Tribolium castaneum: one gene and its partners. The protein of the gene in region 3 interacts with the protein of the main gene of each other region in a pairwise test. Links are inferred from orthologs where the notes say so. Each region holds a gene or a part of one and is shown on either strand. Other genes may lie near its edges.

Region 1 (2,319 bases), on a different chromosome or scaffold from region 3:
TCGAATTTTGCAACAATTTGTGCTCTCAACTCGCACAATTTGTTAAAAACTAGTTCGTCGCTAAACTCGCGACAATTCAAGATTTGTTGTGTTGTTAATTAGCATTTAAAATCGCGACTTTCACTTTTTGACCTATTTCTGACAAAGAAAAAAATTAGGGTAAATTAATAAATTGCCCTGAGTTATATCCGACCATAATAAAGATACTTATGGGTATAATTGCTAATTTATATGTATGAATGACTGAGATTTAGAACATGAACTAGCGTTTTTTCAGCTGAATTACTCAATAATAATAAATAGTAATGTCATTAAAACTTTCACAATCTCATGTAGGCTGCCACTTCGCGCAAATATCCCACTTTTAATTAAATTTTATTTTACGTCAAAGGCGCACATCGCAGCCTTTTTTCACAAACTCGTAAAATTATAAACCTGTTCCACGCCTTGGCGCCTTGTCTTAATTTATGTCGAATAGCCAAATTGTTGTTATGTAACGCAGAAGCGATTTTTCCCAATTGTCAACCGCCGAAAACACGACATAAACAATTATTTTTAATAATACTCATAATAATGATTGTTTAATGAATACACCCTGGCATATGCAACCAAGAATACACCACCCGAGAAGTGAGGGAAGACAAAAAAAACATTTTAAATAAGTTAATCTTTTATTACATTTTACACAAAATTATTGTACACCCTAGAACAAAAGTTAACCACGATAAATTACAACTGAAACTGTACACGAAATACACCCTATTATTACTTCGTCTTCAAGGCATCTTACTTTATGTACAAATAGTTATTGGAAAAATAATGAGCAATAGAATCACAGTTACTAAGCTTGTCGAGTTAATGAGATCTTTTCTTGACTGGCCCGTTTGCGTGTGACGTTAGACACAGGAGTTGTATCCTCATGCGGGCCCTGCACTGTCTCAAAATATCCTGCACCACACTGGAAAAAAAGGATAAGCTACACACAAAATATTTAATTTTTTGCTTAAAATATAAAAGAAATAACGTGTACAAGGAAGAAAGCACACAAAGAAAAAAACGCACAAGGAAAAAAGATAATAATTAATAAATAAGCTAATAACTGTTGTTAACCCTAAACAAGCAGAGAAAAACTTACGTGGCTTCGGAGTTTTCAAGCGGAGGAATAATATCTAAAGCTTCCTGAAAGTAGCTCCGAGCTTTAGGTGTCGAGTAATGGTCGAAAAAAATTTGCAGTGCGCTTATGTCGGCTCTGGCTTGTTGTGCCCCGCCTTTGCTAAACTTCTGAACACAGGACATCAGTCGGTATAACTCTTCGGCTATCGTTAGGACTACTTGAGGAAGTACGCTTTCTAGTAGAGAAGACGAAATACTGTTAACTTCAGAGTGGACATGGATCACGTTATTGATGCACTCCTTTGCATAGGGCCTTATATTATTGGGGGTTATTTCAATGTCCCAATCAAATCGGCCTAAATACATTGAGGGTTCGATTGTGCCAACTAAAGGATCACTTTTCTGTTCCAAATACTTCTCAAGGATCGTTTTTTCGAGCACATCCAACTTATCTTTGGCGTTTTTGACTGGCGTTTCCGGTGCCGGGAAACCACTCTCCTTGAACTTCCGTAAAATGGTGTCAAAGACCACGTTTTTGGCATAGAGGCAATTCGAGAGTGTTATTAAAAGACGGTGCTCCCAAATCGGCATATTATTATTGGTATAATTCGTTCTATAGCCATTGATCGGAGTTCCGATTAGTTGCGAGACGACAGGTGACGTATCCTCATCGTCATCACAACTCTCATCCGACGATAAATTGTTCAAAACGTTGTGAAACGACACTAAAACTGCTTCGATCTGTTTATCCAACTCTTTATGCGCAGTCGGATTTTCCAAGAGAGGTGTTTCGCGCTGCTCCGTCGATAAAACCGATTCCTTAACGATTTGGATCACGTCTTGGATGATGCGCTCGAATTTGATTGGCTGGAAGAGGCACATGACGCGAAACTCGCCAATCAAATCAAAATATTGAGATCATACTTTTACACACTGTTCCGAAATGGTTGTTCAAGTCAAGTCACCTATGAAATTTAAGCGTAATGTGCCGCTTAACACAACAAAAATCACGGAAATACAAAACACAAATCAAGACAAAATCTACAGTTAGAACAATTTTGCCGAAAAAGGCAAAAATGATCTGATGAACAACCATTTTTGAACACATTGTATTATGATAAGTTACAGTGAAGCATTTAAAAACAATTAGTCAATGAGTTTTTTGTATCATAACTTTGTTTCATAATTATTAACTTACAATACCAA
Region 2 (4,028 bases), on a different chromosome or scaffold from region 3:
GAAGTTTCTGGGTTAAACGGAATCATCTGTGTAAACAAAGTCGACAATTTAATCAAAAGTTGAGCAAACTTGATTATGATTGTTATTGACGTGGGAGTCATAAATGGGGTTTTGGGTCACAGAAGACTTACCACGAGATGGTCCCTTGAGGCTTCGATTCAAAATGTGACTTATAACAATATAATAAAATGAGCAATGTATACACACTAAACACTAACGAAACTCCTTATCTTATTTATTGACTTTGCCAAACGCCAGCAAACATCACAAGGGACGGTCGTAAAAATCCAACAAATAACAATTAAAAAATTAAACACCTTCAACCACTTCCTATTCTAAAATAATATCGGACATGAAACAGTACGAACTCACTCCCCACTAAAAATAAAAACAACACGCACAAAAACATGTAAAAATACTCGACTTAAGTAGTGCTAGCGCCGCCTGTTGGCTTAGTTCAGGCGCATTGCTAGTTGCATACCGTAACCTTAGGCCCACTCCAATGTCAAGTCTACCTAAATTTAAACCCAGCGTCAATTTGAACATTTATTATATACAGTTACAATAATACTGGACACATTACGACTTGGCTAAAATCTGCGCTCTCAGCTCGATGCACATCTCCTGCTCCTCGATGATCTGGCGGACCAAGTTGATCTTCTTGATTTGCAAAATTTGGTTCTCCTTGAGGAACAGGTCCATGACTTCGTCCAGGTCCTCGTTGGGCACCATCGCCACGGGCGGCACCTCCCCCGTGATCTGCGAGCGCAGCACGGCGATCTGGCCGCGCTCCGCCTGGATGTCCTTCAGGAGCGAGTCTCTGAGCAGCAGCAGCCCCTCGTTCTTGAACTTCAGCAGCGCGACGCTGCCGTCCAGCTCCGACTCCTCCTCGCTGGCCGCCTCCTCGGGCTGCGCCTCGGGCTCGGGGGCTTCCACCTTCTCGACCGCTTCCTTGTCGCGGTTCGCCGTTTTCAGCTTGCGCTTCAGCTGCGTGATGATCCTCTGCACCTCCCAGAGGAGCTCCTCGCGCTGCTTCGAGATGCAGCAGACGTTCATCTCCTTGTGGATCTGGGTGAGGAGCGACTCCTGCTTCTTGAGCTCCGTCTCGATCTCGGGGGGCTCCTCGGGGAGCTTGGCCCCGGACTCGAGAGGGGGCACGTAGCGCGCGATTGTGATTGTGGGGAAGAGCGCGAGGCAGTGGTGGAGCAGGGCGTGGAGGAGGCGCGAGGAGCAGTGGAAGGTGTGGTTGAGGGCTGTGGAAATGGCTTGTTTGTTCATTTTGTTGCATTTTTCCTGCGAAACGCGCTATACTATGGGGGCTGGGGTGTTAAGGCACTCACATTCAGAGAAACGTTGTGTAAATGGGTGATGAGCCAGCCGAGGAGCGTTTTGTTGTGGGGAGGTAAAAGGTCCACTAAAATTTTTAAGTGTTTTTCGCGAGTGTTGAGATTAAGGATGGCTCCGGCTTCCTCGAAACGTATTAAAAGGTCGTTTGTAAAAAGTGGTTCTGGTAAATCTCTGCAAAGAGTTTTTGCCCATCATGTTACACCTAAGAAAAGGTTACCTTAAATAGGTTTTTACTAAACTTGTGACGGTTGGAGGGTCGTAGTCATTTAAATTGATATTGCCCCTCTGATTGTACATTTTACGTATTTGGAGAACTTTTGATTTTGTTCCGCTGATTTTGTATATGCCTTCGAACGACATACCTACGGTTTCTACATAGTCTATACATTCCCGAATGGGTAAAGGAATGTCTACACCGTCATGGCACCGGCTCCTCTCAACAGCCACGTCTAAACTAGCCCCGAAAATCGGTAAAATATCTGGAACGAACAATTCATTCCAATTTTATTGTCATTATGTAAGAGTTCTCACCGCCGATGTCAGCGGTCTCGTCAATTGACTGTTTGAGTTTCTTCGTTTTCTCACTCTTGACTTTCTCCTTGTCCTGCTTCTTGTCATTCTTCTTATCCCGGTCTTTCTTCTTGTCGAGATCTTTCTCTTTTTCGCGGGATTTGTCCCGTTTTTCTTTGGCTTTGGTGGAGAATTTGAACGGTTTGGCTTTTTTTGTTTTCGACGGGCTTCTGAAACATCCCAGTGAGGGTTTGAGTGATTGCAGGTGTGATTACCTCGACTTGAAATTTTCATCAGCTGAACTTTCGCCTTCTAAAGCGGCATAACCTTTGTCTTTATCCTTCTTCTCTTTGCGTTTTCCGATGAGAATGTCCTTTTTCAAGACTTTCTCATTTTCGTCACTATCTAGAAACGAGTTTTAATCGGGAATTAGTGGTTCACTTAATTTATTATTACAGTCGCTGTCGTTATTGCACTGCTTATTTAATTCGGATGCGTACAAGCCTGGGAAATCCTTCATTACGTCGGGGCTATCAAAATCCATATTGACACGGTTGGGTTTGAACTTTTAATAAATAATTATGACACTATTTTCCCAAGGGAATTTGTTGCTAAGCATGTTAAGCTGGGATAAAACAGAAACAACACAAATCAAGTCATCTGAGTGGTGTAATATGACAGGTGCTTGCCCTGCCATCTCTTGAAGGAACTGGTGTTGAGGGCCGCCTTAACCGGGAGATTCGAAATAAAAGACGAGCTAGTTTTGTAATTTTTTTTAATTTTTTTTACGTGTTACAGGAAGACAAATCTTTGACCACACTTCCACAACACACTTTACAAACTAACTTAACTATGTAATAAATTGCAAGGAGTTGAGCAAAAAAAACGTTTAATTATCACAAGATTTATGTGTTTTTTCGTCTCGCCTGCAATCAATTGTCGATTGCACGTGGTTGGTTGCAGGCGAGACGGAAAAGCAGATTTTCAACTATCTTAAAATGATGAATTAGTACTCTAAATACAATATTACGAAAACACATACAAAAGAACTCCTTGCCTGTCCTATGATTTACATTTTCATAAACATACCAAAGGGAAGGTCATTATAAAAATATATCAAGAGTAGTTGACACCTAAAACTGTTAACAATATAAAACAAATGGGATTTAGTCGTATTAATAAAAACAGAGTTTCAAGTAACAACACCTTTGTCTAGTCTTGCCCCTAAACCAGTTGTCAAGGGGTCCTAACACAACTTATAAATATCCTCAAGCTAGATCAAACGAGAGGAGTGAAAGAAAATCCGGCAACGTAACAAAGTAAAAAGTAGTCCCTACTACGGGAGAAGTGAATGAAAATCCGGCAACGTAACAAAGTAAAAAGTAGTCCCTACTACGGGCGGAGTGAAAGAAAATCCGGCAACGTAACAAAGTAAAAAGTAGTCCCTACTACGGGAGGAGTGAAAGAAAATCCGGCAATGTAACAACGTAAAGAGTAGTCCCTACTTTAGATCGAGGCTACGCGCAAAAAAAAAACAATAATATAATAACAAAAGAAACGGTGGTTGTGTCATTAAATGGTATTAGAACAACGAGTTGGCGAGTGGCGTTTATCTATAGTCTTGAAACAACATTACAACTAAATTTTTTTGGGGAAATGCATACCTTAAGTAAATAAGTAAAATTTACCATCGTATGATTGCCATTTTCAATGAAAAGTGCAAACATTCTTAGCTCAACTAAACGTACATTGATTGTATTGTTTTCTAATGAACCAACCTTAAGAAATCTCAGCTAAGCAGTTATACGTGTAGCCCAGCTACATAATGCTTAATATATTGGTACACACTAAAGCGAAAACGAAACAGCCTATTTTTTAGATTTTATATATGAAAGTATTGTGGAGTGAGCCCATATGTATGTACAAAGTATAGCGCAGTCATTACAATACAACTGATTAATGTAACCATCAAACTCACACAAAACTTTATGACTAAATCATTCACGTTATATAATAATAGAACCGATACGGTCTCCACTGACATTTAAAAAATATTGCGTTGCATAGCTTCATCTTGTAATTACTAGAAAAATATGAAACTGTCAGTTATTTTAAGGCAATGGCACTTGCGCAAATCTACTTACACTTTTATACATCAGTTATTCATTTTT
Region 3 (4,231 bases):
CTCACATAAAAAAATCTTCAGTTCTAGTTTCACAAATAAAATGCTCCCATTATCTTCATGTTTATTTTTTACAAATTAAAACTTCTTAATACGACCTCGTATGTCATAAATAAATAAATATAAAAAATATGTACAACAAAACTTAACAAGCCGACCACAATGCGGGTTTTTTTAAAGTATGAAATTAGGTTAGGTAATTGACACTATTGACAGATGGGTGGCTAAAAATTAGTAGCTGTTTCAAAACTATAAAAACGCCAAAGTCGCTATTTACCAAATCATTTTCTTCAATAATATTGATATGATTGTAAAATAGTTATAGATCTTTCATTGAAACTATAAATTACATCGGTTATTATTTCCTTGAAGTGCCTGAAAAATTTATAACAGCTATTTTTGAGAGAAAATGCGATGTTGAAACAGCTAATACATCGTAGTTGAGTTATTTGAAAATTGAAAAATTTGAAAAAAATGTCCAATGTGAGTAAAATTTTATTATAACATATTGCGATGGCAGTACACTTTACAGAAATCTTCTTAGTGAAAAGTATGAAAATATACTTCCCTCGTAGATTTACAGATCTGATTATTTTGTAGCGAAAATATTCCAATAACATATTGCTAAATAATGGTATTTCTCTTACGATAACTTAGATTAAAAGCAAAACAGAACTGAAATTATCGTGCAAAACCCTTCTGAAAAATAAACATAGAAATACTGGTGATGTAAATGATGTGTAATAAAATCTAGGTTGTTTCACACAATAATAAACAGTTCGAAAATAAATTATTTCTTAAAACTACGAACATGTACACTCTTAACAACTATCATAACAAAAGTAGATTAAAAAATATAAGTGAGGGTACAATGGTGGCTAAACAAGTGCCATAACCCTATGAAATGTAACTAAAATTCGATATGAAATACAAACATACAAATACATATATTACATACAAAGTTTTCATGTCATATAAAACGATTTATGACTATTTCTTAAGCATAACGTTCTGCCATTCTCTAAAGTATGGTGCATTTTAATTTCTTCTTTTTACTTTTGTCTTTGCCTCGGCCATTGTTTGTCTTGTTCTCTTCCATTTTGCGGGCGCGGATTTCCCTCATCAGGTCGTAGAAAACCTAAAAGGTCAATAGCATTTATCAAATAGTCCACATAGATAATACGTGAAAACAGAAATCTCGGGGCATTAAAAAAGTATACGGATATCTAAAAGCTAGGATGTGACAACGTACAAATAAAACGTGCACGTCCACGATTTCATTATTGAATGAAATTAAAAAAAAAATTATTGCGATAAGGGTTAACTCATAGCAAACAAAAAAATACAGGCAGGTAGAGCATTACAATCTCAATAGTAAGACATTTTAATAATAATCATTTTGTTTCTCATGTTCTTATAAAAAAATTATTTTCAGTCTGTTAAAAGTACAAAGTTCAACATTTCTTTATTTCTTTACATGTAATTAGTAAATTGGTTGGATTTAAATTAATTTGGCGTCGAGACGGTATAACGCTCAAAACGCCCTCATTTTGACTATGCCGTACTGTTTTTTTGCAGCAAATCCAAAAACACCTTTGCTTTTGGACCCAACTGTTTCAATTAACCGTACGAAAACATCTGCTCTTTGACCTATTGTTTTACAGCATGACTAATATTCCCACAAAATTAGATTACTATCGGTCATAAAAACAGTCCTATTTTATTTTCTGTCTCGCTGAAGCCTCTAATTACTTGAACCGCTAGCGTGACCCACCTTGTCGACGTGCTCCCGCGTCTTGGCCGAAGTCTCCACGTAGGGCACCCCCCACTGCTTGGCCCTGTCGCTGGCCTCTTGAAACGAGACTTTTCGCCGGTCCTCAAGGTCACTTTTGTTCCCGACTAGCAAAAAGGGAATGTTTTCGTCGTTTTTCACCCGCAGGATTTGCTCCCTGAACTCTTGCGTGGCTTGAAAGCTCTCGTCCTCCGTGATGGAGAAGATGCACAGGAAGCCTTCGCCGCTGCGGAAGTAGTTGTCTCTGATCGCGGCGTAGTCCTCCTGACCCGCAGTGTCCAGGATGTCGATCTGGACGTCTTCGCCGTCCAGGAGGATCTTCTTCCGGTAGGAGTCCGCCTTGGTGGGCTCGTAGTCCTCGACGAACTCGTCGTACATGAACTGGAGGGTTAGGGCCGACTTGCCGACGCCTCCGCTGCCCACCATGATGACCTTGTGCAGGGCTGGCTGAGTGGTCGGTTTTTTCGACATTTTCGGCTGGAAAGCGGGGAAATGCCGGCGTATATTGCATTACCAGTCATTGACCCCACCGGGGTGTATTCAAAGATTTTGACTTACCGGTGGTCACAAAAGCAAACTGTGAACGGGTAGTGACGGTCCTATTCCAGACCAATTGTAAAGAATAATCACTTGTGCTTTTCTGTCCTAACTAACTGAACAGCAACAAGCAACACCAACACAACCTCACCGCTGCTACTTGTAACCTACTTCACGTCATCCTTCCATTAGTCATCTTTTTCCTGGTATTTTGTCACGCGAATTCTTTGATATTTATTTTCACTTATTATCTCAGGACGATTTACTGAGGAATGAGTGTTATTTTGAAGAGGATTTTAAAGATACGTGTCAAACATGGAATTGTCACTTTTTAAATATGGAATCAACAATGGCGGTAGGTGGGCGCAGCCACAGCGATTTTCGTAATTTAATGGAAAAATAACGGAACTGGACGCTCGTGATCAGTCGTGATAACATTAATGTGATAAGCCGGTAGTAAAAAATATAAATTCAGACCGCAATCATTAAGAACAACCTTAATTTTATCAATATTATCGTTTTTTTAAATTGGTACTAAAGGTGCGTTCACACCGAAAGAACGAGTCCTATTTTGTTGAATTTTTTGCTTATTAATTACCAACTTTATCCATTTTTAAACTGAAGTTGGTATTAAAGATTACTCAACTTAGCGAATAAAGTAAAACTTTGCAGTTGAATTATTTAAAGTAGGTATTTTACTCTTTTACTCACGATTTACGTAAGCCATAGATAAAACAGCTTATCAATTCATCGTCCTTATACACATACAGCAATTCACCCAATTTAAGATTTAAGCCTTATTAAAATAAAATACAACCCAAAATGGTCATGATTATAACACAATTTACAGAGTTTTAGGGAATGGCTTAGCAATATTCAAAATTGTGGCTAACTTGTTCATTTGTGTGGCAGGTTCGAATCCCGGTCCTGGCAAAAAAAAAATTTTTTTCCGTAAAATTTAATAACAAAAACAAATTGAAATAGAAGAATATAGGTCGGCCTTTCATAATAAATTCACACTAGAGTTTAAAAAAGGTTTAATAAAAAAGAAAAAATATTTATTAAAAAAATAAAGATTCGTGGTTCCTCCACAAAGATACATTGGTTTGAATTGCGTTTTTTTTTCAAATGCAGGCTAATAATTTTAGTGGTTTTGTTATTTATGGCCTAGATGATTATCACTTTTATTTCTCTTTCAGCACATTTATTCACATTTTGTTTATTCACTAAACAATTTATTTTATGCCCCTTACGCCCAGGCTTTCATGAGTACAAAAATTAAAAAAAAAGATTTCTAAAATAAATCAGGCAGTTTTTAATAAAAAGAGAGCAATTTTTGTGATGCCAAATGATTATAAAAACAGTTAATTTTTATAGCACTTTTAACCCAAATGTACTTATTAACATTGACGTAATCCTTAAAACTTTGCTCTTTAAAATTTTTGCCTATCTTTATCACCATTGTACTTATTTTTAATCAACTCCACATGAGCGGTTAGCCTGTATTTAGCTAACAACGCAGTAAACGGCTTTTCTAAAAATAAACTCCTTCAGATGTCTTTTGGGTTTTTATTGTGTGGCTTACGGTGGTAAGCATTTCTTGTTAATTACACTGGACAGAGATTCATCAAGAAATAACAAATCTGTATTAGAATATTTTGTATTTCCTATGAAATATTCTATACAAGTTGCGTGTCTAATGTTTAACAAAAAAGGATTTGGTACAAGATTAGCAGACACATCTCCACCAAATACCACGAAATGTGTCCTCAAAACCATAAAAATAGGAGCAATAGATTCGAGCCCACTAAGCATAAACAGGATTAATTTTCTTTTGGCTTGTCCTCCCCCTCCTTCTTGGCCACCTCCGCCTTCGACGCCTCGTCGAAGTTGCCCACCAGATCC

What was found.
Region 1: the proteins of Rala (region 3) and Sec5 interact in a two-hybrid assay, tested with the Drosophila melanogaster proteins (2 studies listed by BioGRID). The link is inferred for Tribolium castaneum from reciprocal best matches to the Drosophila melanogaster genes Rala and Sec5.
Region 2: the proteins of Rala (region 3) and Rlip interact in a two-hybrid assay, tested with the Drosophila melanogaster proteins (6 studies listed by BioGRID). The link is inferred for Tribolium castaneum from reciprocal best matches to the Drosophila melanogaster genes Rala and Rlip.

The regions. Positions count from the first base shown.
Region 1 is NC_087403.1:223,769-226,087, forward strand, and holds the end of Sec5 (exocyst complex component 2), read right to left. Parts: intron 1,981-2,319; coding exon 1,136-1,980; intron 959-1,135; coding exon 856-958; 3' UTR 653-855; downstream 1-652. UniProt on the Drosophila melanogaster protein: Component of the exocyst complex involved in the docking of exocytic vesicles with fusion sites on the plasma membrane.
Region 2 is NC_087403.1:3,536,257-3,540,284, forward strand, and holds Rlip (ralA-binding protein 1), read right to left. Parts: upstream 2,544-4,028; 5' UTR 2,402-2,543; coding exon 2,314-2,401; intron 2,263-2,313; coding exon 2,133-2,262; intron 2,088-2,132; coding exon 1,879-2,087; intron 1,827-1,878; coding exon 1,565-1,826; intron 1,519-1,564; coding exon 1,341-1,518; intron 1,294-1,340; coding exon 580-1,293; 3' UTR 534-579; downstream 1-533. UniProt on the Drosophila melanogaster protein: Participates in receptor endocytosis during interphase, is also involved in mitotic processes when endocytosis is switched off.
Region 3 is NC_087395.1:14,770,626-14,774,856, reverse strand, and holds Rala (ras-related protein Ral-a), read right to left. Parts: upstream 2,823-4,231; 5' UTR 2,348-2,822; intron 2,267-2,347; 5' UTR 2,261-2,266; coding exon 1,772-2,260; intron 1,136-1,771; coding exon 1,019-1,135; 3' UTR 475-1,018; downstream 1-474. Other genes in the region: bic (transcription factor BTF3 homolog 4), read right to left, coding at 4,150-4,231.